Cricetulus griseus: one gene and its partners. The protein of the gene in region 1 interacts with the protein of each later gene in a pairwise test. Links are inferred from orthologs where the notes say so. Each region holds a gene or a part of one and is shown in the gene's direction. Other genes may lie near its edges. The genes, in order: Ushbp1, Synj2bp, Fbf1, Dtnb, Necab2, Prc1 and Fam110a.

Evidence for each region.
Region 2: the proteins of Ushbp1 (region 1) and Synj2bp interact in binary tests that used the Homo sapiens proteins (3 or more experiments, as listed by UniProt). The two-hybrid records come from large-scale screens. The link is inferred for Cricetulus griseus from reciprocal best matches to the Homo sapiens genes USHBP1 and SYNJ2BP.
Region 3: the proteins of Ushbp1 (region 1) and Fbf1 interact in binary tests that used the Homo sapiens proteins (3 or more experiments, as listed by UniProt). The two-hybrid records come from large-scale screens. The link is inferred for Cricetulus griseus from reciprocal best matches to the Homo sapiens genes USHBP1 and FBF1.
Region 4: the proteins of Ushbp1 (region 1) and Dtnb interact in binary tests that used the Homo sapiens proteins (3 or more experiments, as listed by UniProt). The two-hybrid records come from large-scale screens. The link is inferred for Cricetulus griseus from reciprocal best matches to the Homo sapiens genes USHBP1 and DTNB.
Region 5: the proteins of Ushbp1 (region 1) and Necab2 interact in binary tests that used the Homo sapiens proteins (3 or more experiments, as listed by UniProt). The two-hybrid records come from large-scale screens. The link is inferred for Cricetulus griseus from reciprocal best matches to the Homo sapiens genes USHBP1 and NECAB2.
Region 6: the proteins of Ushbp1 (region 1) and Prc1 interact in a two-hybrid assay, tested with the Homo sapiens proteins (2 studies listed by BioGRID and IntAct). The link is inferred for Cricetulus griseus from reciprocal best matches to the Homo sapiens genes USHBP1 and PRC1.
Region 7: the proteins of Ushbp1 (region 1) and Fam110a interact in binary tests that used the Homo sapiens proteins (3 or more experiments, as listed by UniProt). The two-hybrid records come from large-scale screens. The link is inferred for Cricetulus griseus from reciprocal best matches to the Homo sapiens genes USHBP1 and FAM110A.

What each region holds. Positions count from the first base shown.
Region 1 is NW_023276806.1:247,616,872-247,620,371, reverse strand, and holds part of Ushbp1 (Usher syndrome type-1C protein-binding protein 1), read left to right. Parts: intron 1-24; coding exon 25-150; intron 151-1,386; coding exon 1,387-1,520; intron 1,521-1,660; coding exon 1,661-1,801; intron 1,802-2,122; coding exon 2,123-2,287; intron 2,288-3,252; coding exon 3,253-3,500.
Region 2 is NC_048598.1:122,173,588-122,177,730, forward strand, and holds the start of Synj2bp (synaptojanin-2-binding protein), read left to right. Parts: upstream 1-1,343; 5' UTR 1,344-1,468; coding exon 1,469-1,532; intron 1,533-4,143. UniProt on the Homo sapiens protein: Regulates endocytosis of activin type 2 receptor kinases through the Ral/RALBP1-dependent pathway and may be involved in suppression of activin-induced signal transduction.
Region 3 is NC_048600.1:128,734,343-128,737,842, reverse strand, and holds part of Fbf1 (fas-binding factor 1), read left to right. Parts: coding exon 1-41; intron 42-1,102; coding exon 1,103-1,582; intron 1,583-2,753; coding exon 2,754-2,855; intron 2,856-3,136; coding exon 3,137-3,231; intron 3,232-3,365; coding exon 3,366-3,424; intron 3,425-3,500. UniProt on the Homo sapiens protein: Keratin-binding protein required for epithelial cell polarization. Involved in apical junction complex (AJC) assembly via its interaction with PARD3. Required for ciliogenesis.
Region 4 is NC_048600.1:14,466,751-14,470,696, forward strand, and holds the start of Dtnb (dystrobrevin beta), read left to right. Parts: upstream 1-1,146; 5' UTR 1,147-1,269; intron 1,270-3,946.
Region 5 is NC_048596.1:196,088,030-196,091,529, forward strand, and holds part of Necab2 (N-terminal EF-hand calcium-binding protein 2), read left to right. Parts: intron 1-514; coding exon 515-540; intron 541-690; coding exon 691-788; intron 789-3,500. UniProt on the Homo sapiens protein: May act as a signaling scaffold protein that senses intracellular calcium.
Region 6 is NC_048596.1:117,306,059-117,309,558, reverse strand, and holds part of Prc1 (protein regulator of cytokinesis 1), read left to right. Parts: intron 1-45; coding exon 46-178; intron 179-618; coding exon 619-741; intron 742-3,500. UniProt on the Homo sapiens protein: Key regulator of cytokinesis that cross-links antiparrallel microtubules at an average distance of 35 nM. Essential for controlling the spatiotemporal formation of the midzone and successful cytokinesis.
Region 7 is NC_048599.1:28,044,669-28,048,168, forward strand, and holds part of Fam110a (protein FAM110A), read left to right. Parts: intron 1-2,979; 5' UTR 2,980-3,055; coding exon 3,056-3,500.

The sequences.
Region 1 (3,500 bases):
AGTCTGATCCCCCATCACCTGCAGGTGCTGGAGCTAGAGGATTCCCTGAGGCAGCTGGAGGCCTCCCCGGCTGTCCTCCTCCTCAGAGCGGGGCATACCAACAGCAACTCCAGCAGTTCTGGGGCAGAAGGGGAGCCCTGGGTGCCTCAGGTAAGCCAGAAGTCTTTAGAGCATGTCGTGGTGATGTCCTCTGCTTTTCCAGTGTGAGAGGATGGGGGTAAGCTTCAATTTGTGCTTGATGGGATCCCATAGTGTTGTGTGACAAAACTTTTCCTGGGGAGACACTATACACGTCAACTCATCCCATATAGGGAGCCCATGTTACACAAAAGCACAGACACAGCCAAAGTCCAACTTGGTGGTTACATACAGGATTACGGGTGAAGGGTCACCTACAGGAGCTGAAATGACTCAGAGAGCTGCATCACCAAAGCCCACCCCAGCATGGGTGACAGCTCACAAAGCTGGAAGCCTGGAGCACACTGCACAGCCTGCAAATTGGAGTATGCCATTCCAGTGACTGGTCTAAATCTCTTCAGCACAGCTGGTCTGGTCTCTAGTCTTCTTTGCAGCCAATCAGCTGGTCTCTTAAGAACTTTCCTTACTCTGGCAGGGAGGGACCTAGTGAATCTGCTCAGTTTCAGGGACTTCCTGAAACTGTTTGGAGTTGTTTATCATCCTGCCTAAGGAGCAGGTGGAATGTTTCTATCTCAGAGGAAACTGTTAATACAACACATAGTGTGAAAAAAAACCTAAGCAGAGCCTGGAGAGATGGCTCGTTGGTTAGGTGTGCTAGCTGCTCTCACAGAGGACCAGATCTAATGCCCAGAACCCAAATGGCAGCTCACAATCATTAGTAATTCTAGTTTCAGGGGATCTGACGCCCTCTTCAGGGCTCCACAGCCACCAGGCATGCACATGGTGTACACAGAAACTTGCAGGCAAAACACTCACACACATGAAATAAAAATAAAAGAGAAAAAGCATAAAACACCAGATTGGTTGTCACCCCACAGTCACCAGCTGCTTAGGGGCCTGAGACAGAAGGATCGTGACCAATAAATTTATCAAGACCCTGTCTCCAGATTAAAAAATAATAATAAGCATTGGTGAGATAACACAGCTGGAAAGGGCACCTGCTGCCAAGCCTGGTGATCTGTGCTCAATCCCTGGAATTCCCAGAGTGGAACCAGAGAACTGAGTCCCATAAGTTGTCCTTTGACATCCATTCATGTGTCATAGGCATACATCCCACACACGTGTGCATGCACACACACCAAAAACACAAACCAAAGCTGCAGTGGTGCCCCAGATATATAATATGTTCCAGGGCCCTGCAAAAAGGAAGAATGATGGGTAGTAAATCAAGTCATGTACTCCTGGCAGGACTCCCCCTTGGCTCATCCTCTTCTCCAACCCCTCCAGAGTGACTCTAGCACCCAGATCTTTGGGTGCCATTCCAAACATCGTTCAGCCCCCGAGATGCACCTTATAGAAGATCAGATGGAGCAGCTCCAGGGGTGAGTGGCTGAGTCACAGCTGCTGAGCTTTTAAGGGCATCATGCTTCCCGCTACTGGGTTGTGAGGGGGTGGGGAAGAAACTGGGATCTAGCTGATTGGACCCTCACTCATCTTCCCTCTTGCCTGCCTTTGGAGATAGGAGCATTGAGAAGTTGAAGTGCTTCAATCGCCTCCTGCTGGCTGTGCTCCAGGGCTACAAGGGCCGCTGTGAGAGCCTCAGCATGCAGCTGGGCCAGAGGGAGGCTGAGGCCACAGCCCTGCGCCTGGCCCTGCAATATAGGTCTGTGTCTGCTACCAATGATGGTGGTGGCTGGGGACGAAATGGGGCTGCATCCCAGGATGGCCCTATGCAGAGGGACATGGGGACTTCAGAAAGCACACTGCCTCACCATGAGATCTTGTTCTAACCCATAAACTATGGAGGGTGGGAGCTGTCTTTTTGTGGTTTGTTGCTATATATTTATTTGAGACAAGGTCTCACTGTGTAGCGCCAGCTGGCCTGGAACTTGCTATGTAGCCCAGGCTGGCTTTGAACTCACAGAAATCTGCCTGACTTACTGGGTTGGGGCTGAATGTTGAAACACTCAAATGCCATCCACAGTGAGGATTGTGAGGAGGTATATGGGGTGCTGCTTGCTCTGAGGATGGCTGACTCAGGAGCTGGAGATGAAGCCCCCAAGAGTGACCTGCAGGCTGCTGAGAAGGAGGCAGCTAGGCTGCTGGTGGAGAAGGAGGCAGCTATGGATGGAAAGACACCCCAGCCCAGGTACTTACAGGAAGCATAAGAGCTATGGTGGTCCACGGGGTGGGGTGGGGCATGTCCCAGAGCCTGCTACATATAGGATTTTGATGTCATTGTCACTGTCACTGCCCAGGGAGGTGCTGAGTTCATCATGGCTGGCACCAGGCCTGACTGGAGTGTGTTAGTTACTCAGTGGTGCTTAGTTTGCCTGACACCAGGTGTGGTGACAACATGCCTTTGATCCCAGCACTCAGGAGGCAGAGTTTGAGGAGTTCAAGTCCAGCCTGGTCTACATAGCAAGTTCTAGGCCAGCCTAGACCTTGCCTCATATGTGTGTGTGTGTGTGTGTGTGTGTGTATACATATATATGTGTGTATACACACATATATATATACATATATACATACATACATACATATCTTATACAAAGTACCAATTGCCTTGCATAGATGCACAGACCCTGGTTTCAACCTCTAAAGCAGGGGGGGAAATCAGTGAAGAGAAAAATTATTAATTTTGGTCAATCCATCATGGCAACAGGAAGTGGGAAGCAGAGCTACAGGAAGTGTCCGGGGCATTGGTGAAGCCCTGTGTGGACTTGACAGGGTTAGCAATACAGCTCTAGGTACTGTCCATCACAGTGCTGGTGAGCTTCTGGTTTTGTCTCTGCACTGCCAGTGCAGCCTCAGTGTGCACGGAATTAAGTTCAAAGTCCCCTGGTGGCCTGATTAGCATGTAGGCTCCACCACCTGGCTATGTAACTGAGGGTGATGCTCCTGCCTCCATCTCCTGAGGCTGGGTTGTATATATGGTACCTCACGAATGCAAGCTCTCTATGGACTGAGCAACAAGCACTCTACTGACTGAGCCCCAGCACCTGCCATATTATCTTGCTGGAAGATTGCCCAGCTGGCACAGGACTGTGGTGGCTCCTCGGGCCGTGTCTTGGGAACAGCTGTATAACACCTGTCTCCACCTGTCTCCTATAGCCCAGGGGGCAGCAGTGTTGACAAGCCTACGCCACAGGAACTAGCTGCTCAGCTCCATGGCTATGTCCAGCGTCTCCGGGAACGCTGGGCTCTGGTGAAGATCCCTCCACCTCTTGGCCCTGCCACGGCACCCAGGCCCACTATGCCCCACACAGAAGCAACAGTTCAGGCCATTCTGGAGATACAGCCTGGCCCAGCCCTGCCCCGGCTAGAGAAGTCTGAGATCCAGCAGAAGCTGGTGGCTATTC
Region 2 (4,143 bases), on another chromosome or scaffold:
AACTGAGATCTGAAGCTTAGGCCATTGCCAATTTTTCATACAATATCTATGCAGAAAATAAATGTTAATTACATGTCAGTAGCCTTTGCAGCAAATGTTAATTATGATAGAGTCCTTGCTCATCTGGCAAGAGGTTTTACTCAGACTCTGAGATGATGCCCCTCCCATGTCTCATAGGTTCCCTGTCTTCCCATCCTGTCTCATTCATATAGAATCCACTTCTGACTTGTTTTGATTAATTAACAGTGGTTGCTGGCTCGATTTTTAACTGTAAGGTAGAATACCTTTATGGTGATATTCACTCTTCAATTCTCTAACATCTCCAGTAACCAATCCCTTTTTTCACCCTATATACATTTATGGTCACCTTCCTGGTTCCTAAGGCTTTTTTTTTATCTTTTGATGTTTGAAAATTCCTTCAACCTGTTTGGAATGTCCTATTTCAAAAGTCAAGAGGGCTAGGAATGTCACATCTTAAGTCCTGCAATCATCTTGTCAAAAAAATGACATTTCCACCCCCACCTCCACACCCTCCACCCCTGCTTTGGAGTATTTTTCTTGAGTAAGCCTATAATTTAATTAATCCCTTCTCTGTATCTTTGTATGTATACACATTTCTTAAGTTAGATAAGCCTGCTAAAGACACAAACCAGGAATATATTGCAGCAAATACTTTAAACAAAGTGTCTTGTCAGTCGTATGGTGCTCCAGTTTCCTGTCATGTGTGTCAGTGTAGGTGCCTTGCTTTAAGCAGTGAACACTACACACACACACACACACACACACACACACACACACACACACACACACACACACGAGGTGGGGGAGGGAGGGAGATAGGTTGTATTTTTTCCCCCTGTAGATAAATTATATTAACACAGAGTGAACTGCCAGCGAATGAACATGACACAGTGTTATCAAGTTCTTTTACACGGGGCATGGATGTATTGGGCTGTACCCACGTCACACAAAAGGAAAAGGTACAACTTTCTGCCCAAATATGCAATCTCACCAGTAGTTTGCCCGTGATGCCTTTCCCAGTATGGTTTGAAGCTCATAAGATAAAATCCTCCTGTTTTTTTTTTTTTTTTTTTTACATTTGTGGATATTTTGAGATTTTATTTAAAATATCAACAGTATCAATCTAATTACGAACCATAACTTTATTACCCTCTTTCCGTGCCCTCCTTCCCACATGCTTTCCCAAGGTAGGTGAGCATTGTGCCTTACTCATGGCACCCCAGGATCTGCCTTGGGAATGGGGCGAGGTAACGGAAAACGCTGGTGGGCGCGGAGAACCACCACTCCCAGCATCCTTGGCGCTCCCAGTGCCCGCGGTTTCCTCTTCCGGTCCGGCGGCTTAGGAAACTGTAAAAGCTATGCTGGGGACGCGGCGCGGAGCTTGATTCACCTTCACCTGCGCGGAGCTCCAGCTGACCCCGGGCTTCCGCCCGGTGAGCCGTCAGACATGAACGGACGGGTGGATTATATAGTTACGGAGGAAGAGATCAACCTGACGAGAGGACCCTCGGGTAGGCGCGGGACGTGGAGGGAGTCATTGCTGAGCTCGTTGGTTTTGCGGAGCCAGGTTTACTGGCTGGAGAGCAGGCCGGCCCGACCAAGTTGCTTCCAAGAACGCCGTCGGGCACGACGAAAGAGCCCATTGGCATCCTTTGTTAGCTAGATAACGGACCCTGGGACTCGGCCTCACAACCCAGGGAAAGTGCCGCAGGCATTTAGGGCCAGGAAGGGTTTCTGTTTGCTGGTAGTAATAGAAAAGTCTAGACGAACGGCCGCTGCTTAGACAGCCTGTAGTGGACGCCACATCCGTTATTCAGTTGCCTGGATCATCCTTGTTTATATGAGGGCCCGTTCAGGTAAAAACGAGAGCGGTAAACGGCGTGGTTTTCTGAATGCATAGCAATTTCCCTGGTGCTAGGGTCCCTGTCTGCATTTCTGGGAAATTAGTTTACAGTGTCAACTGGAATGCTAAAGCAGGAGGATACCCACTACAGAAGTTTCCAGACCTAGCGCCACCCCAGAATTACTTGGGCTTGTTTTGTTTTTACATTTTTTTTTATAATGAATTAAAACGAAAAGGCTATTTTCTAGTTTCATTTTTAGGGATATGGATTCAGTATGGATTAAACAATTCTTTAAATACTAAATGTGATTCTGACAGGAAAATTCCCACTCAGCCCTGCTGTGTCTTCCTCACCGCTGCTCATGGCCAGACTGGCATTATTATTATTATTATTATTATTATTATTATTATTATTATTATTATTATTGTTTTGGTTTTTCGAGACAGGGTTTCTCTGTGTAGCTTTGGAACCTATCCTAGCACTCGCTCTGGAGACCAGGCTGGCCTTGAACTCACAGAGATCCGCCTGCCTCTGCCTCCCGAGTGCTGGGATTAAAGGCATGCGCCACCACCGCCCGGCGCCAGACTGGCCTTTAAACATGACTACATAGTGCTGTTGTCTCCCTTGGACTATTTTTAGGTTTAGGGTTAACTACTTATGGCCAAGTTTTTATCTAACAACTTACCAGTTTGTCTGTCAGTCTGTCTGGTTGGTTTTAATTCATTGGCAGAGTAATTTAACTGATGTATGCTATAGGTTCTTGTCTGTAGAGTGGAGATGGTTATGAAGTGCATTGTGTTTGACATATAGTGTTAGGATGAAGCCAGTTACGCCCTGAGAAATATTTAGAACATTGTCTTGACATATGGTAAGCAATGTGTATTTGCTATTATTGTTATCATTAGTGAATGAATGGTTAGACTGACCCCAGTAAGTTCTGCTAAATACAGTATTCCAAGAGTTGAATAAATCATTGGTTACTGTGGATTTTTATTCTACTTAGAATATTCTGTCAACTTTTCTCATCTGGAAGTTTGCAATAACTTAATCACTACTGATAGAGTGTTCTGTATAAAACACAACTTTCAGAATTAGTCATACTTTTTGTCTTCCTGTTGGGAGAAAATTGGAAGTTGGTCTTATTTATGGGAGTAACACACTGCTAATCTTTGTGGTTTATACAGAAGCTCAGTGCTGGTTGATTTTATTTTTTATTTCATTTGTCAACTTGGCAGAAGATAGAGTTATCTGGGAAAAGGAACCTCAATTGAGAAAATACCTCTATCAGATTGCCCGTAGGCAGGCCTGTGGAGCATTTTCTTGATTGATATTGATGTTTGATGATCAGCTCACGGTGGGCAGTGCCACCCTGGGCACGTGGTCCTAGATTGTAAGGAAGCAGGATGAGCAAGCCAGTAAGTAGCGCTACTGTAGTTGCTACGTCCAGGCTCCTGATGGAGTTCTCTTTATGATGGAATGTTACCTGAAAGTGTAAGATTAAATAAATCACTTCATCCCTTAGTTGCTTGTGTTACAGTGTTTTGTCATAGCAATAGAAAACCTAAGATAAACTCAAAAACTTTTGCTCAAAGACTTTTCAATATGCTCAAGTGTTTGAATTTGTCCTATTTTAGAAAACTATTCTCTCAATATTTATTTACTTTTTAGGCTAGCATGGTAGAAATTGAATTTTTATTGCATTTATTTAGTTATTTGTGTGAGGGGCAAGGAGGCCTGTAGAACTCAGAGGACAACTTTCAGGAGTCAGTTTTTTCCTTCTATCATGTGGGTCCCAGGGATTGAACTCAGGTTGTCAGAGTTGGTGGCAAGTGCTTGTGCCCACTGAGCCATCTCACTCAGCAGCCTCAGATCTTTAAATAAAAGTCCATTTTTTTGTGTGTACTTTTCATCTTCTCTTCTTAGGATCAGTTGAGATACACCTTTCTGATTGCTTTGCAAGTACATAATGACATCTAGTTCTTTAAATATACTTGCATGATACTACTTTTTATGATGTTTGAGGTTGTTTTTTGCCTAATGGTAAGGACCTAATGATATAGTCTCTTTGCAGTGGTATTACAGTATTTCCAGGGTCTTCCGATGAGAGCAGATTCCTGATATTATTATTCTTGTTTAAGCACTAAATTCAACATAATATCACTGTTTGAACCTCTGGGCATTTTAATGGGCATTGTCTAATTTCTAAGCAATTTTCTTACAGATCTAAAGTTTCTACTCTTAGTATTTCCATCAAGCATTAGAGCTAGGGAAAGTGCCC
Region 3 (3,500 bases), on another chromosome or scaffold:
GCCTCCTCTGAGGGCAGACAGTCCCGCCGGCAGTCGGTCAAGTAAGTGGGGCTTCAGGGAGGTCAGCCTTGGGGACAGGCCTGTCCCTGCGGCCTTCCCAACCTCACCCTACAGCCATGAGTCTACAGTGCTAAAGTGAGAGGGAAGCTAGGAGCTCCTAACAGTCCAGGCAGAGCTGGGTAGACTTGCAGTCTCCAGACCCCTAAACTCCTCAGAAGGAAAAGGAAGAGGTGGGCCTGCTTTTGCTTGAAGCTCTGAATGCCATGAAAGGCTGGTATGTCACTTGGTCTCCCAGAGAAACCACAGCCCAAGGAGTTAGCACAGCCACCATCCTGAAGCCGTAGTGGGGATCCCTCTAATAGCTTCCCAGACCCTGCCATTGGCCATATCCTCATGACACACGGCACATTTGCCACAGAAACAGACCAGCAGTGAACTTTCCGGAATGTGTAATTTTTCTCCATGTATATGTTTTTTGTTGTAAAAGGATTTATTTGTTTATTTTGTGCATATGAGTGTTTTACCTGCATGTATATCTGTGCACTGTACACAAACCTGGTGCCTGAGGAGGTCAGAAGAGGATGTCAGATCCCCTAGAGCTCGGGTTCCCGGGCTTATGTGAAATCGGACCTGTCTTTTCCTGCCCTTTTTGTTGTTGAGACTGGCTGGCCTCTAACTCACTGTGTAGTCAAGGATGGACATTGACTTTATCCTCCTGCCTTCATTCTGGAATGCTGGGTCAGCAGGTGTGGATGGACCACCATCCTGGTTGGTTGTGGCACTAGGGATGAGCTTAGTATATGCTAGACATGTAGTCTACCAGCTGAGCCATGTCTCTAGCTGCTGTGAGATGGTCACTATTGTTAACACTATTTTGACATAGGGTCTTTGTAGCACAGGCTAGTTTTGTACTACAGGCCAGCTTTGCACTTATAGCAGTCCTGGGTCAGCCTCCCGAGTGCTGGGATTACAGGTGTGAGCTACTGTGCCCAGTTTGCTGTGGGCCAGACGTGCACCCCCCTCAACAGCAGAGAGTAGGACTGATGGGGGCTAACAGGGTGTGCTTCCTCCCCTGCCCAACACCCGCCTCTCTGTCTTGAAGCAGGTTCTTGGGAGAAGGTGGCTCAGACCTTAAGGGGGACCTTAAGGGGGAAGCCGGCTTCAGACACAGCCCTCCACCAGCTTCCAGCCCTGCCCACCCCAGAAGAGGAGGAGCTGACTGGCTAGGCCTTAAGGACGATGACCTGGACCTGCTGTCTTCCTCTCCTGTTCAAAAGGTTCAACAAGAAGACTCAGCCATCTCCACACCCTCTCTACCCCCTCCTATAAACCAGCACTCAGCCCCAGAGCCACACCCTGCCCCAGTTGGATTGCCCTCAGCAGCCAAGCCAGCAGCTAAGGGTGTGAGGCCCTCTACCAAAGCCAGCCAAGCCTCACTGAAAGCCTCTGAGGAGAAAGAGGATGACTGGCTGAGCCATGTCATATCTCAGAAAAAATCCCAGGGTCTAGCCAGAGAGGATCGTGCTGAGCCCTCTAAGGGTCTGAACTCACGGGGATCATTGGGTCAGACCCCTTCTAGCAGGTATGAGCGTGGGCTTCTACGGTTGGCGGGAAGGATCTGGCAAGGTCTGGGGGTCTAGCCTTGCTCACCTCACCTGTTGCATCCTTTGTTAGAGATACTAGTGTGGCCACTGATGCCGCCCCAGCTTTGCTTCTCTTCCTTCCGGGCACAGTAGAGAGCTGCCCAGATGCAGACAGACAGGCCGGGGGCTGCTAACACTCATGCCCTGGCTGCCGTGGGGACAGGTGCTGACTGGACTGGGCAAGGGAAAACAAAGGGTGTTTGTGGTAGCAGTGTCCCTGTCCCTCTTCTCTGAGCACAAGCGCTGTCTGCAACACCAGTCAGACCCACTGTGCCGAGTGTAGGTTTCGGTCAGCTTGTGTTAAAGGTAGCTAGTGCATGTGTGAGTGAGCTTCCCATGGCCTCTTGGAAGTGTTTGAGTAAATGTGGAAACTGGGAGACAGCCCCTGAGCACCACAGAATGGCCATCCAGTGAGGCTGGGGGTGAGTGACCCCTGTAGGCAGGAAGGGAAAGGGGCTGACAGGCCAGGTCCTAGGAAGCAATAACAAGCCTTGCAAGCAGAACCAACAGGAAGAGGTTGTGTGAGCCCAGGGACACCACCACTGTGTCCTAGATGTCCTAGAACTGGTGTGTTGGGGGAGAGCAGTTTTGATGTTGACCTGAGATGAGAGGGAAAGCTGATGACCTGAGAACCAAGAAAGGAGGGAAAAGAATACAAGAGAGCAATCAAGGGTAGCTATGGAGACGGGGTGACCCAGCAGCACCAGAATCTAAGACTACACAAAGCATGACAAGGCTTGGGCTTGGACTTAACTCCAGTGTGTGTGGCATGCCCATGGTTGCTGTGTTACTGAACCATGATGGATGCTGAGTTGGACAGCAGGTCCTAGAAGGGAAAGGCAGCCCACAAACTGCAGGAGTCCTCCAGCCTGGAAAAAATTCCAGAAAAGTGGTGGGAACAGAGGCAGAAAGGGGAAGGAGTGGTGGGAACAGAGGCAGAGAATGGAGTGGTCGGAATAAGCAGGGGAGAAGTGGTGGGAACAGGCAGGGGAGAAGTGGTGGGAACAGGCAGGGGGAGAAGGCTGCCAGAGCTTCATGCTAGGAGCTTGTCTGGGGTTATCTTCATGTAGCTCACTACCAGTCTTCACCTTTAACATGGACTTTCCTCAGCCAATCTGTTGCTGGCACTCAGGCCCTTGAGCAGGCCATTGCTGAAGAAGCCTCAAGAACAATTCCACAAGGGATCGCAGCTGGCAGGCCTGGTATCACAGGGTATGTCCAAAGACAGGGCTGGGAGGGCCACCCTCTGCTTCCTTCCCTGGCTCACTGACTGTTGTATTCAGCATCTATGCCTAGCTGACAGATGTCTGAGACACATATCTGTTGCCCCTTTACCAAGCCGCCAGTGCAGCCAGGTCCTTCACCCCAGCAGAGCACCAGCCCCTAGACCTCTGCATCCAGCTGTTTGAATCCAGTGCTTTTCTTTGCTTCCCCTTCTCTGCCTCTGTCTCACACAGAAGCTGTTCAATGTGCCCTCATCTTTATGTCCCCAGGTCCTCCATGCGTTGGAGCCAAGCCACTACTGTCCTCCCTGTAGGTGACCCCAAGACAGGAATGGTCTCTGCCTCTGGGGACTTTTCTAGCAGAGGTTTGTTTCCGTCTCTGCTTGGAGTTTAGCCCTGGGTGAGGAAGAGGTACCTTGAGCTCCTTTGGGAACTCTGGAAGATCCTCGCTATGCAGTCCTCTGAACCTCCTCCTCTTTCTCTGCCGTCACGTTTCCAGAGCCTGCACTTTATGTTCCACGCTCCCAAGAACCCACGGGGCTCTCTGTGCCAATCCAGGTAGGGAAGGTGGACAAACAGGGTTAGGTCTTGGGCCCAGTGAACAATTCTCCCCTGCTCAGAGGCAACTCAAGGA
Region 4 (3,946 bases), on another chromosome or scaffold:
AGACTTAGCTGTTCCTAAAGAGTTTGGAAAGGATTCTATTAAAAAAAAATGGGACCATGAGGTCAGGCATGTTGGAGCATGCCTTTAATCCCAGTGCCCAGGAGACAGAAGGTGGATCTCTCGAAGTTCAAGGCCAGCCTGGTCTCCAAAGAGAGTTCCAGGACTGATTGGGCTGTTACACTAAAACCTTATCTTGGAAAAAATACCAACCAAGAAACATATAAGGGGCTGGAGAGATAGCTCAGCAGTTAAAGAGCACTTTGATGTTATTAGAGGACCTGGGTTCGATTTTCCAGCACCCACAGGGCAGCTCACAGTTCCAGGGGATCCAATTCACTCTGCTGGTCTCCCGGGGGGGGGGGGCGCACGTGTGTGATGAACACACATACTTGTAGGCCAAACACTTATACACATAACATAAAAACATCAATCCTTTTTAAAAATGGTACTATGAACTGACCGGCCCCTGCTCCTTTGCCCAAGCTGTTTTTAGCAAGTCGAAACGTTCCCACTTTCAGGAACTACCGCGCAGCTAAGCGGAAGTAATCTGTTCCCCCTTATCCTCTCACAGCATCCGGCTGTGGCTTGGCTATTCGCAGGTGACCGGACTCGGTCCTCGCAAGGCTGCTCTTCCCCCTGAGTTACGCGCTCCTGGGGCCTAGGGGCCTGTGACCCAGAGCATGTCCACGGCGCACCAGACGCGGAGTCAGTGCTCAGTGAGCCTGCTGAGTCAATGTGGAAAGTCACCCGGGGCAGGAGCCCGCGCTCGAGGCGCGGGTGAATCATTCACCGGGTGTTTCTTGGCATTCCTTACGGTGCAGTCACGTCGGCGCAGCATCCAGCCGCCGGGCAGCTACCTGTGGAGTGGAAGCGCGCCTCCGCCTCCGCCGCCCGCGCACCGCAGAGGCCCGGAGGGGGCGCGCGAACCCGCGGGAGGGCACGCGGCCGCCTCCCCGCCCCCTCTCGTGGCGGAAGCCCCGCCCCTCGCGCGCCCGCCCGCCGGCCCTCCGCGCGCACCCGCCCTCGCCCTCGCGCCTCGCGCCCTCGCGCCGGGGGCGGGCTCGCTGCGCGTGCCGGGCGGGGGAAGCGGCGCGAGCCGGCGCCGGGAACGTTCGCCGTGGGGGCGGCTCCGGGGCCTGAGTGGGCGCCGTCGCCTCAGCCGCTGCAGCTGCTTCAGCCGCCTCAAGTCGAGGGGGCCGGGCCGGAGGAGGCTGCGGCCGCCGGAGAGCCACGCGACGCCCCCTCAGCTCCGGCCGGGAAGTGAGCCAGGTGGGGAGTCCTCCGCCCGGGCTGGAGGAGCGAGGAGGGAGCCTGCGGGGTGGCGGAGCGCGCGGCCGTGGAGCTGCGACCCTTGGGAGACGGCACGCCGGGCCGGGGAGGGAGAGAGGAAGGGGGGGTCCTCCGGCCACCCGCGCGCACGGTGGCGGCGGGGCGCAGAGCCGGGCTGCGCGCGCCTGCTGATGCAGCGGGAGCCCGGCTTGCGGGGAGGAGGCTCCGGGTTAGGTGCTGAAGGGGGCGAAGGCGGCAGGTCCTGGCAGAGGGCAGGTGAGGCAGGCAGGCCCTGGCAGAGGGAAGGGAATTCATTCCAGATCGCCCCCTCGGTGTCTCCCGGTAGACGAACCTGTCCACCCAGGTCACCCTTGATGGGTATAGTGTCCCGAGAAGAGACGGGAGGATGCGGCTGCCGAATGCTTACGGTTACATTCCCCGTGCCAGGCCTTGGGGAATCAGGGAGACCTTCCAGCATTCTCTGCAAAGCGTTTATTGATTAGCTACGGAGCAGGAGACAAGCGCGGTCAGCCCCGGGGTCACGACTCAGTCACTCCCAGCCATCATTTGCTGCTCAAGTGCTGACAGTTGGGCCGTGAAAGTATGCATATAAAATGTAAAGCGCTCAATTTCTCGTCTCTTGTCCTGGTCATTTCAGCCTCTTTAGTCTTTTTTCCATGGGAAACCATGGGAAAAAAGATCCCTAAGTTGCTTGGTTTGTGGAGAAAGTAGGCTACTCAAGGGAAGCTGGTGGGAGTTATTGAGAAGAGATTGGAAGGGTCTTAGTGACATTTAAAAGAGAGGGAAAGGAAAATTTAAAGAGAACCTTGCCTTCTCAACTAGAGTTAAGCTTAGTCCTCAGGATGTGGCCTGGATCCCAGTAGTCTTAGAATTGATGTCCACTGAATGAGTGTTGGAGGAAGCAGGGGTTTGATACATTTTATATGGAGTAGTGTCTGCCTCTCTAGAGTTAGGGGTGGTTGGTGGACTTCTTTGGGCCTCAGATCGTCTTTTTGCCTCGGGTAGCCAGGGTTTTAGGCACTGGGTAGGTTAAAACAGTGGCCTGGGTGGCAGACTCCGGTGGCTTGTGGCCAGTCTTTTACATCCACGTGGTTCTTGCATGTTGGGTACCAGGCGCTTGCTCTTTGGGTGGTCTCTTGAGATCCGGTTCTGGTCCTTCTCTCATTGGCTTTTTGTTTGTTTTTGTTATGCTTTTTTGAGGATGGAGTATGCTTTTGCTACGAACACTTGTAGTTTCTATTCTGCCTCTTGGGTCTGGGCTCTGAGGTGACAGAATGCTGAGGTGAGAGAATGTCTGGTCAGTCCTGTAAGGGCAGGAGTTCCGTCCTCCACCTTCCAGGGTGTTGGACTCTCCAGCCCCAGGCTGCTGTTCCCTTCCTCTGGCTTGCAGTGCTTGTTGGGTTACTTTGCTTGCCAAATTAAAACTTGACCTTTTATGAGTTCTCTGAGGATTTTTATCAGACATAAGTGGAACTGCCTCTGAAGGAGGTTGTGAAGTCAAGGTGGTGCTGGCGGTGTCATGATGTTCAATAATTTTTCCCGGAAGACAGAATTTCTACTTGGAGTTAAAATACTAGAGTTCATGAGATTTCCAGTTACCATTTATTTCATGTCTTCAGTGTTAACATATCTGAGCCTTAGTTCCTCATCTAATGAAAGTAATATCAGTACAAATTTGGCGTTGAATATATAGTGAGCCTTGAAGCAACACTTTTATTTCATGTTAGTGAGCATGCAACCTTTAAGTTTATAGTAAGTTTTGTTTTGGGGTGTCTACGTGGCTCTGTAATTTTTGGTACCTTGGTTTCAGGCTTTCCTAATATTTTCTAGATGCTTAATTTACACTTATTTCAAAATCAGTGCCCCCTCCCTTTTGAAACAGTGTCTTGCTGAACCCAGCTGGCCTGGTACTCAATATACTGTAGCCAAGGATATAGGCTGACCTTGAATTTGTGGCCATCTCCTCAGTCTCCTGAGTGAACCACCCTGCATGGTTAAAACAAACTTTTTTTGTGATTTTGTTTTTAAGATAGAGGTCTTCTCTATGTTGCCCTGACTGACTTTGAGCTTGTAGTTATCCTCCTGCCCATGTGTGCTGGGATTACAGGTGTGCGCTACTGTTCCTTCTTGATACATAGTTAGCATATGATAAAAGGGGCAGATTTTACATGTTGAATTGGATGTTTTAAAAAACCATACATATTGTTGGGTGTGGTGGCACATGTCTAAATCCCGGTCTCTGGAGGCAGAGGCAAGCTGATCACTGTGAGTTTAAGGCTAGCCAGGGTTACATGGGGAGACTGTTTCAACAGAAAGTAAAATCAAAAGGGAAACAGTAACAAAAGCCCTCTGCAAAGAAAACAAAAACAAAGGAAAACCATATATAACTGTGTAAACTATCCCAATCAAAATATATACATTTGTATCACCAGAAGATTAACTCATGCTATCTTTGAGGACAGCCCACCCCATTTTACTTATTTCAAATTACATATACATTAGAGCTGTGGTTTCTGGTTGTATGCTGTCCAGTTTTAGGGGTATCATTTGCGTTGGAGTCTCTGTGCCTGGCAGCTCTTGGACTTCAGTAGTTCAAGTAGCTCATAATGCATACTTGGTTATAAGATACTCAGATAAAAAAAAAAAACCCACTTGG
Region 5 (3,500 bases), on another chromosome or scaffold:
TGCTTTGGTATAAGGAGTGAAACCCAGGGCTAGAGTGGAGGCTGACCCAGGGCCCCAAGAGTCCCAGGAGAGGCCGGGGTATTATTTTTGACAACCTGTGATAATCGGCAGCCCTTTCCCCACCCTGCTCCCTGGATCAGCTTTCTCATTGGTCCCATCTACTCATGATATGGCCCATAGGCTTTGAGAGGAATATTGAGCAGCCTGGTTTGGTGGCATAGGTCTGTAACCACAACACTCAGGAAGATGAAGCAGAAAGATCATGAGAGTTCAAGGCCAGCCTGGGTTACATAGTGCAACCTTGTCTCAAAATAAGGAAAGGAAACAGCATGGTGGGCAGGCAGGTGGCTCCTGCTCCAGCCTCTTTGAGGTGGAGTTCACCATACCAGTGCTGAGCATGCAGAGGGGGCCACAGCAAGTGTTTTGGGGACTGCTGGGAGGGTCAGAAACTGGCCTGCTGACTCTGTCTCCCTCTCTCTCTCTCCATTTCCTCCCTCCCCCCCTCCCTCCACAGCCATGTGGACACCAAGGAACTGTGTGGTAAGTTCCGGGATCTACAGCCACCATGGTGTGGACAGGAATACCCAGAGGAGGGCAAATCAATATGGACCTAGGTGGGGCTGGTGGGAGGGCCCCAGGGAGAGGGTGGAATCCTCTGTGACCCCTGACCTTTGCAACCTCCTTCCCCAGATTACTTTGTGGACCACATGGGAGACTATGAAGATGTCCTGGCCTCCCTGGAGACCTTGAACCACTCGGTCCTGAAAGCCATGGGCTACACCAAGAAGGTCAGTGGGTATGGGGAGTGCACTCAAGAAGCTAGGGCCTGAACGCCAGTCTAGGTGTTTCTGAACATTGTTGCTCAAGGGTGTCTAGCTTTGTGGTGACAAGTGTTGGCAGGGCTCCTTGCAGAGCCAAGACAAACCACATAGTGAGAGGATGACCTTGGTGGATAGCCCTGTCCCCTAGAGTGTGTGCCAGAGTGTGAGGGTCTTTCCCAGGGTCAGGCTGGGTCCTGGTGTGGATAACTGGTGAGGGCAGGAATCCTGAACGATGGGCTCCTTCAAGAGCAGTGCAGACCCAGGGATCTGGAAATGGGAATTTAGGTTTTGTCTGTCTGAACTTGACCCAGGAGTGAACTGGTGTCCCCTAGTGGCTGGCACATGTGCAGTAGAGGAAGGCCGAGTTGATCTGGTCAGTGACCAGGTTAAAGGACTGGAGTCTCACTTTTTGTTGTCTGTGAAGTGGAAGTGCCCATCTTGCAGACCTTGACTGAACTAAACACCAAACTGTTGAACACAGAGCTACGTAGGTAACACCAGCTCCCTCATTTCCTCACACGAAGCCTGTGCCCTGCCTGCAGCAGACTGAAGACCCCTTCTTGCCATGCACCCTAACATTGCTGAATCTGCCCCACCCCCTGCACACTGCCATTCTGGCATTGCACTGTCAGGAGTCTTGCTGTTTGCGAATATTTTAAGACCTTGTGAGAGCCACTCTCAGGGGATGAGGGTATGTTCATCGTTGCAGTTTTGCGGCAGCCCCCAGTGTCCCCTGGTGGCTGGAGCATTAGCAGGGTGTGCTAGGCAAGTGTGTCAGCCTGGCTGTAAGAAGAGGGGAAGATGGATTGTGCAGCAACACAGTCCTTGACCCTTCCCCTCCTATCCAGGAGCAGAGCCCTGTCCCAGTAAAACCGTAGAGCATGGAACCTCACCATCCATGAGGGAAAGGAGCCTCCCAGGAGGCTCAGGCCAGCCTTAGTCATGCTGCCACAAGGATTGTACATGTAGCCTCAGGTGATCATGGTGATTTCAGGTGATTCCGGAGCATCCTTGCTGGGCCTGGAAATGGTAGCTGACTTTTTTTTTTTTTTTTTTTTTTTTTTTTTTTTTTTTTTGCCTTCTTTGGTATCTCCTAGCTGGCCTGTTTGAAGAAAGGCAGCTTGCTGATGATCTTGAATGCTTTCCTTGTATGCTGGTAGCTTTTATGTCAGTTTGACATAAGTTAGCGTCGACTTGATTAAGAAAATCCCCCCAGAAGATTGGCCTGTTGAACAAGCCTGCGGTGTATGTTTCTGGATTGATGATTGATGTCAGAAAGCTCAGCTCACTTTGGGTGGTGCCACCTATGGACTGGTGGTCGTGGGTGCTATAAGAAAGCAAGCTGAACAAACCATGGGGAGCAAGCCAGTAAGCACCACCCCTCCATAACCTCTGCATCAGTTTTTGCCTGGGTTTCTGCCCTGACCTCTCTCAGTGGACTGTGATGTGGACATGTAAACTGAAATAAACCCTTTGCTCCCCAGTTTGCTTTTGGTTATGGTGTTTCATCACAGCAAAAGAGACTCAAAGACCCCCTGTGATCCCTGATTGAGGCTGACTGCTTTGATTTTGTGACGTAATAGTCTCTGTCATGGTTAGCTGGGTTAGTCTCCTGCATGGTGACGAATATGGGCTCCTCTGGTAACTCTGTTGCATGTGACATATTCTCCAGATCCTAACACATCACAATGATGCAAGGCCCCAGCTTTTCAAGTACATCTAGAGCATCTCTCCACTAATTGCAATATTAATGCCAACTCTTATTTTAGAAACCTCTTCAGTTCAGCCTGTGCAAAAATATGTTTCGCCTTCCCCTTTGTTCAGTCTTGTCTTGGGTGATAGCAAGGAATTTGCTCAAATGCCTGTGGGTTTTTTTTTTTTTTTTTTAATGATCTGATGATTTTGCTTCAGCTATCGATGGGTGGATTCTATTTTTAGATTCTCTCAAATTGAATAGTCAGTGCTCTATGATAAACTTCCATCAGAGCATCATTCTTTCATCATCTCTCACTCAGTTCTGTCACCTACTGAGTGTCTTCTCTCTGCATTGGGAGTTGAAGTGGGAAGATGGCCTGGGGAGCAAACCATGTGACTAGGGCATCTCCTGTATGATGCGCCATCCCTAAAATGTATGGATGTTTTTTTTTTTTCTATTTAAAATCAAAATGTATCCAGAACTCTTGGGTCAAGGGTCTAAAAGGGTAGTGACTATTGTCATAGGTCTTACTGTTTTATGTGTGAAGTGTTTTACCTGCATGTACATCTGTGCACCATGCGTGTGCCTAAAGCCCACAGTAGCCAGAAGATGGCATTGGGTCCCCTGAAACAGGAGTCTCAGATGTGAGCCACCATGTAGGGCTGGGAATCAAACCCCAGGGTCCTTTTCCAGAACTCTTAACCACTGAGCCATTTCTCCAGACCCTGTAATAGGTGGTTTATAGCAAACCCTAATTTTTAAAAAATATTTATTTATTTATTTATTATGTATACACTGTTCTGTCTGCATGTTTGCCTGCACACTAGAAGAGGGCACCAGATCTCATTATGGATGGTTGTGAGCCATCATATGGTTGCTGGGAATTGAACTCAGGACCTCTGGAAGAGCAGTCAGTGCTCTTAACCTCTGAGCCATCTCTCCAGACTTGGAAAACCCTAATTTTATTCGTTTCCTTTTTGGTG
Region 6 (3,500 bases), on another chromosome or scaffold:
TGATGCTAGCTATTATAAGTAAAATGGTTTTATATTGATTTTCAGTGAAGTGCTAGCAGAGGAGTCCATCGTATGCCTCCAGAAAGCTCTGATTCACCTTCGGGAAATATGGGAATTAATTGGGATTCCAGAGGAACAGAGATTACAAAGAACCGAGGTTGTGAAGAAGCATATCAAGGTGAGTTGAGTGGTACTGGTCTTTCTGCAGTGAGACCAGGAGGTAGGGATGTTGCTGCCTTGTTGAGACATCAGACAGAGTGATATTTGGGGACTTGGATAGGTGACTTAGTAGGTAAAGACATCTGCAACTCCATGATATAAGCCTAAGACCTGAGCTCCATCCATATAAGGTATACAGGGAGAATTGAGTCCATAAAGTTGTCTTCTCTCCTTACACTTACTCTATGGCATTTGCATTCCTCACACATAATAATAGATAATAAAAATAATAACATTTGGTCGTTCAGACAAGGATATCACAGACTCTTCCTGGTTTTATTTAAAGCTTCTTCTGCAAAATTTGAAATTATGTGAGTTTTGAGATGCTAATTGGTTTTGTTGTGTTTTGTTTTATTCTCAGTGGCGCCAAACCTTTACCAACTGTTTTCTCTCACACAGGATCTTCTGGATAGGATGATTGCTGAAGAGGAGAGCCTGAGGGAACGGCTTCTCAAAAGCATATCCTTCTGTCAGAAGGAGCTGAGTACCCTGTGCAATGAGTTACAAGTGAAGCCATTTCAGGTGTGGCAATACAGAGTGTTTGGGGGGTGGGTTGGGGTCTGAGACAGATGACTATGTTTTAACTTAGCAATGTAAATGGAAAGCGTTCTTGGAGGGGAGATAGACTCGAGAAATGTGAAAGATAGTTACCCTATTGACATGAAATAGCTAATAGGTTATCAAACACTTCTTGCTGTATTTCAGTTTTATAGAGCATAATAATGTTTTAATTTTGAGGGGAAAAGTGGCATGAATCTTTGTTTGAAAGAGGCGGGTAGGGGGACATTGAAGAAATGGGTTAATTGGTAAAGTCCTTCCCTCATAGGCATGAGAACCTGAATTCAAGCCTCATAAACCTTGCAAAAAAGCCAGATTGCCAGGCCATAATGGCTCACGCCTTTAATCCCAGCTCTTGGGAGGCAGAGGCAAGCGGATCTCTGAAAATTCAAGGTCAGCCTGGCCTACAGAGTGAGTTCCAGGACAGCCAGGGCATCACAGAGAAACTTTGTCTCAAGGGGAAAAAAATAATGGTGGCATATGCTTGTAACTTCAGCACTGGGGGGCAGGGGCAGAGATAGGTGGATCTCTGAGGCTTAAGCTTCAAACCAATGAGAGACCTTGTCTCAAAAACACAAACTTAAAACAAGATAGCAGCTGGACAAAGACTCAGCAGTTGAGAACATGTGGTGCTCTTGCATAGGAGCTGGTTTCAGTTCCCAGCACATGTGGTGGCTTACAACTGTCCTGAACTCCAACTCCAGGGGGTCCAGCACCCTCTAGTGACTTCAGTCTAGAGTACCAGGTTCACATGCAGTACACTTAAATACATGCAGGAGAGAAGCTTATACCCTTATTAGTAATTCTTTAGAACAAAAAACAAGCTGTACAGTATTACCCAAAAGTTGATCTCCGTCTTCCATCCATTTGTTCACATATATGTATGTGCTGCTATCCACCCCACAGAATAAAGTGGGTACATAGGAGGCAAGGATACCTAGTGATACAAAGGAGGAGTACCAAACAAAATTCAACCTTTGTGGTTCTTTTAATAATCAAAAACTGCATACCACTGAACCATCCAGAATGGTTCTGAAAAGTTGGGACACATAGGAAGCTTTGAAAAGGAATGATGACGGTTCTCATGTTCCATTTACTGTTAAAGGAAAAACTTACCACCTTTGAAGGGTAAGGAAAATTGATCCCTGGCAGTCAAGAGCATTCAAGCAGACCATGACGTTAGAGCAGTTTCCGGAGATTAACATAAATGACGTGGATTTGCTACATAAAATTTCTCTTTTTTTCTTAAACTCTCAATGTGAAATTAGGTATATGAGAAGTTGGGACTACACTGGTACATCTGTCTTCCTTGAATATATGGCAAGTTTTTAACAATGCTAAATGAAACTATATTATTTGTAGAACATATAATTACCAACCACTCTATTCCCTTCTTAATCTACTAGGAATAGAGCAGGATCTACTAAATTGATTGGTTTTTTTGTTTGTTTGTTTTTTGAGACAGGGTTTCTCTGTATTGTTTTGGAGGCTGTTCTGGAACTAGCTCTTATAGACCTGGCTGGCCTCGAACTCACAGAGATCCGCCTGCCTCTGCCTCCCAAGTGTTGGGATTAAAGGCGTGTGCCACCAACGCCCGGCCTAAATTGATTGTTATTGGTAAAGAGATGTTCATAGGACTTTTAGTGTAAGTATTCTATTAATAAGAACTAGATATATCATCTTCTAGCTAACCAAAGTAAGCTTTCTGATCCACGTATTGCAAAAGTATTCTGGTGTTTAAAACAGTCAGACTCAACAAAATAGATTGGATTGGTGGGAGCATAAAATGAGGACCTTTTGCCAAAAATGATTTCAGTTTTGCAAGATGAGATGAGTTCTGGAGTTAGCTAGGTGACATGATGATTACACAGCTATTTTTACAATTGCTTCTTAACTTAGACTTACATCCTAATAAAGCCATCATAAATTTTAGAAAATTGTACAATTGATCCAATTCAGTTACTGGAAATTGTAGCTTACACTTGGTTATTATACATACACACAAAACACTGCCTAGAGTTGGGCACCATCATACACAAATGTCCAACCTGTAAATTGATATAAAACTAATCTAACCACTGTGGATGCAGTTCAGTGGTAGAAGTTTGACTAACATGATGTCCTAGTTTGTTTTGGCTTTTTGTTTTGTTTTGTTTTTCGAGACAGGGTTTCTCTGTAGTTTTGGAGCCTATCCTGGCACTCGTTGTGTAGACCAGGCTGGCCTTGAATTCACAGAGATCCTCCTGCCTCTGCCTCCTAAGTGCTGGGATTAAAGGCGTGCGCCACCAACGCCCAGCAATGTCCTAGTTTTAACCTCTGATATTGGTGAGTAAGAAGAGATCAGGCCAATAAGATGATATCAGTGGATAAAGCATTTATCATGTAAAAGCCTGCTGACCTGAGTTCAATCTCCAGAACCCACCTAAGAATGAGTGGAAAGAATCAACTTCATAAAGCTGTCTTGTGACTGTCATATTCATGTCATGGCAAAGTGCATGTTCCCCTACTATACACAAACAACAGTAATAAAGTTAAATTTATAAAAGTAGATTTAAAAAAAGTTATAAAGTTCTTAAAACATGAGATCTTTATTGTTAGTGGTATGATTTTTTTTTTTTTTTAATTTATTGTGGGTGTGTGGTTGTGCACATGCCATTGGCATGTAGAGGTCAGGGGACAACTTCCTTGAGTTGGTTTTATTCTTCTACCATGTGGGTTCTGGG
Region 7 (3,500 bases), on another chromosome or scaffold:
GGCTTGGGTAGCCAGGTATGTTGCGGTGCTGGGGAGGGGGGAGCGCAGCAGGGACTGTGGATTCAGTCCCCGTATTCGAAACAGACGTGGGCCAACTTCTGCTCAGAGAGGGACAGCAGATCATGGGGGTCACACAGCCTTTGCTCACCTCAAGGCTTGCCCCTAGAGTCTCTAGGATTTCTTCCAAGTGAGGAAGAACCGAAACCAAACTGGGGCCTTCCTGGTGGCCTGATCCGTTCTTTGGGAACCTGAAGGGAGGGACAAAGTCGGGTTCTGGAACTGTGACCAGAAAGGCTCAAGGTTTATGCATTTAGGGCCGTTTGCGGCAGCATTTGAAAACCCATGGTGAGAAGAGTCCCCAGAGGAGACGTTAAATCTCACTTGGCGACCCGGACCCAGGCTGCCTCTCTGAGAGGCCCCTGTGACGTGAGTTGGTGCGGGTCTGCTGGCTCATTGTGATCAGCCCCTGCCAGATGTCTCCTTTGTGTCTGCTGGGGCCTAGATCCGCCCTTCTGGATCGTGCTTAGAAGACTCTCGGAGGGGGCGGGTCTGCACACTCCACAGTCAGAGCCTCAGTATATGTCAGCCAACCTGGTTTATTTATGGAGCGCTGGCCATTTCCAGGTGCTACGAACCCGTTTGATCTTTCCAGCGGTGACCCGAAGGCACAGGGAAGTCTATTTTTAACTCCGGTGAACAGATAAGGGAACAACAGTCTGTTAAGAGCTGCCTCTTGTGCAAGGTGCAAGGCAGGGGCTGGTGGGAAAGTGGGCACCCAGGTGGTTACCAGGCCAAGTTTGGCAACAGGCACCTGTCCCCGCCCCCATCTTTACCTAGAGTTAGGTGGTGGGTATAGAAGCAAGGTGGTGGTGGCGGGGAGCTTCTGCCCTGGCCCTGCCCCTCTGACCTCCTTCCTTTTTCCCAGGTGATGTTTGGGAGGGACTGCCTCAACCACTACCAACGGGTTGGACTGGTTTGGGTGGCAGAGCAGACGTGGGGGGTTAGGGAGGTGGGGCAGAGTCTGGCAGGGCTCCGGAGCAGCTCTGCTGGCCAGACCTTTCCTGCCCAAGGTTACCTGGGGGGTCTACTTGAGTGGAGCCAGCCTTCCTTTCCTTCCTACTAGCCCCTTGAGACTTGAGAGCAGCCCTATCCCCAGCCCCCACACCACTACTGTACTGAGGTTTCCATGGGTGCTGGGGAAAGCAGGTATGTCTGCAGATATGCTATGCTTGCCTGGTACAGGTAGTCTTTTAAAAATGGGGATGGAATTTGCTCACAGTTACAGACCTAGAGAGCCCCTGCCCCTCTGGATCGCCAGCCCTGGGAACATTACACCCCTTACCTTGGACCCACCTGTCTGTAGTGGGTGAGGCTTCTCTAGCCCACTGTGGTGCTGGTTCTCAGCTGATCCCCCCCACCCAGGCCTTTCAGTTCAGGACACACTTGTGGACTATTTAGCATGTATTGAGAGCCACACCATGAAGCTGAGACCCAGTGAACAAAGCAGCCGAAACTTCTGCCCTCATGGAGCTGATACTTTAGGGAGTGGGGGACAACAAAGAGAGAACCATATCCACAGTAAGTTCTATGGGACCCATGGCTATAGTGAGAGAAGAAGCAGGTGTGTGTGTGTGTGTGTGTGTGTGTGTGTGTGTGTGGTGTGTGCGCGCGCGTGTGCCCATAGTGTGTGGAAAAGCTGTATGATGGGACTACCATTTTAATCTCCTCTGGGATCTAGGGAAGTCACTTCTCAGAGTCTCAGTTTTCCCTGCTACAAAATGGTGACAGTGGCTTCCAGGCTGTTGGAGATGATACGAGAGAGTGCGGCTTTGAGTGTCTGGCACACAATGGGGATCCCTGTTATGGGATGTCTGTATGTCTCGGTGATGCTTTTACTGTGTTTAGGCATGCTCTCGGTTTCAGTGCTGTCTAGCATAGTAGCCTCCATGCACCCATGGAGAACTTGAAGCATGGTTGGTATGATTCAGGAGCTAGTGGTGCTGGGTGACCTGAACTGCCAAGTGTCTGTAGCCCCCAGGCTAAGCCCCTCCCCCCTCTTTACAGATGAGAAAGTTTAACTTGGGTTTTACATTGCTACGTTTCTGAGGGGCTTGGGTGGTGGGGGAGAACTGTGGCACTTTCTAACCATGTTTTCTCGATGCCTGGGATGATCTTCTGTTGGACAAGTATGGGACTACATGAGCACCCAGGCATGAGCCTTACAGCCCATGCTCACCTTCATGGTAGTTGGTCAGCAGCATAGCTCTGGGTGGTGCTGTGACCTGGACAGTTCTTTGCACAGCATAGCTTGGGGCTGATGCTTACTCCTCTCTGCGTGCCTTGATCTCTGTGGGCTTGGCCTTGGAGCCATATCCTGGAAGCTACTTGGGCTCCACTAGGGTGGGGGTGTGGACTATCTTTCTGCTCCTCCCCTGCAGCCTCTGCTTTTGTGCCCTTTGTGGGCCTGGCATGTCCAGGCAGGAGTCTGGCACTGCGAGGCTTCCTGCCTGGGCTGGTTGTGGGATGTTGGTGGTATCTGGCTCCTCTGGGCAATTCAGGTGGGATGTGGATGGCGGTCATTCAACCCCAACTGCCTGGTCACTAGTACCTCCTATCTGGGGAGCAAGGGAAGGCTTAAGCAAGTTCATTGCCTCCCCGAGCTTCAGTTTCCCTATCCGTAAATGGGGCTGTTGAGAGGACCCTGGAGCTGAGCCTGGAGCCTTGAGCCTCCTTTGCTCTTTTTAAAACGGACCTGCCTTCTCAACCTCTTTCCTCCCTCCCTCAGCTGTGCGGGTCCCCGCCCACTATTGGAGGGAAAGGGTGTAGGTGGGGCCACAGGACTTCCAGTAGTACATTCTGCCTGATGATTGGCTCTTCGCGAGGCAGAGGCGTGCCCTCTACCTTATAATAGCTCAGGCTTCGCAGTCAGGCGAGCCTTTGTCTGAACGTGCTCAGCCTGTCTTCTTTCCTTGCTTGCAGCGGAGCCCGGCATCCAGCTGCCAACTTTGTGCCTGTATCTGTCTCCTCGCCTCGGCCCTCGGGGCATGTAACTGCCATGCCCGTGGACACGCTGAGCCCTGCAGCCCCTGCAGCTCCCACCCTACCTTTTCGCCTGCGAACCAAGGTCCCAAGCTACCTGCTACCAAGGCCAGCAGTTGCGGGAGCCCGGAAGCCGAGTGCTGTGGAACGCCTGGAGGCTGACAAGGCCAAGTACGTCAAAAGCCTTCATGTGGCCAACACCCGCCAGGAGCCTGTGCAGCCCCCGCTAGCCCGACAGCCCTTCTTCAGCGCTGCTCGTGGGCCAGTGCTCACACCCAGCCGCCGAGCCCTGCCCTGTCCTGGACGCAGGCCCCAGCTGGACGTTGACATCCTTACCAGTCTCATCAACCTGTGTGATAGTCCCGTGTCCCCAGCTGAGGCCAGCCGAACGCCTGGACGGGCAGAAGGATCTGCCCACAAGGTCCCACCAGCCACCCCTCCTCGTCCACCGCCTAGTACAG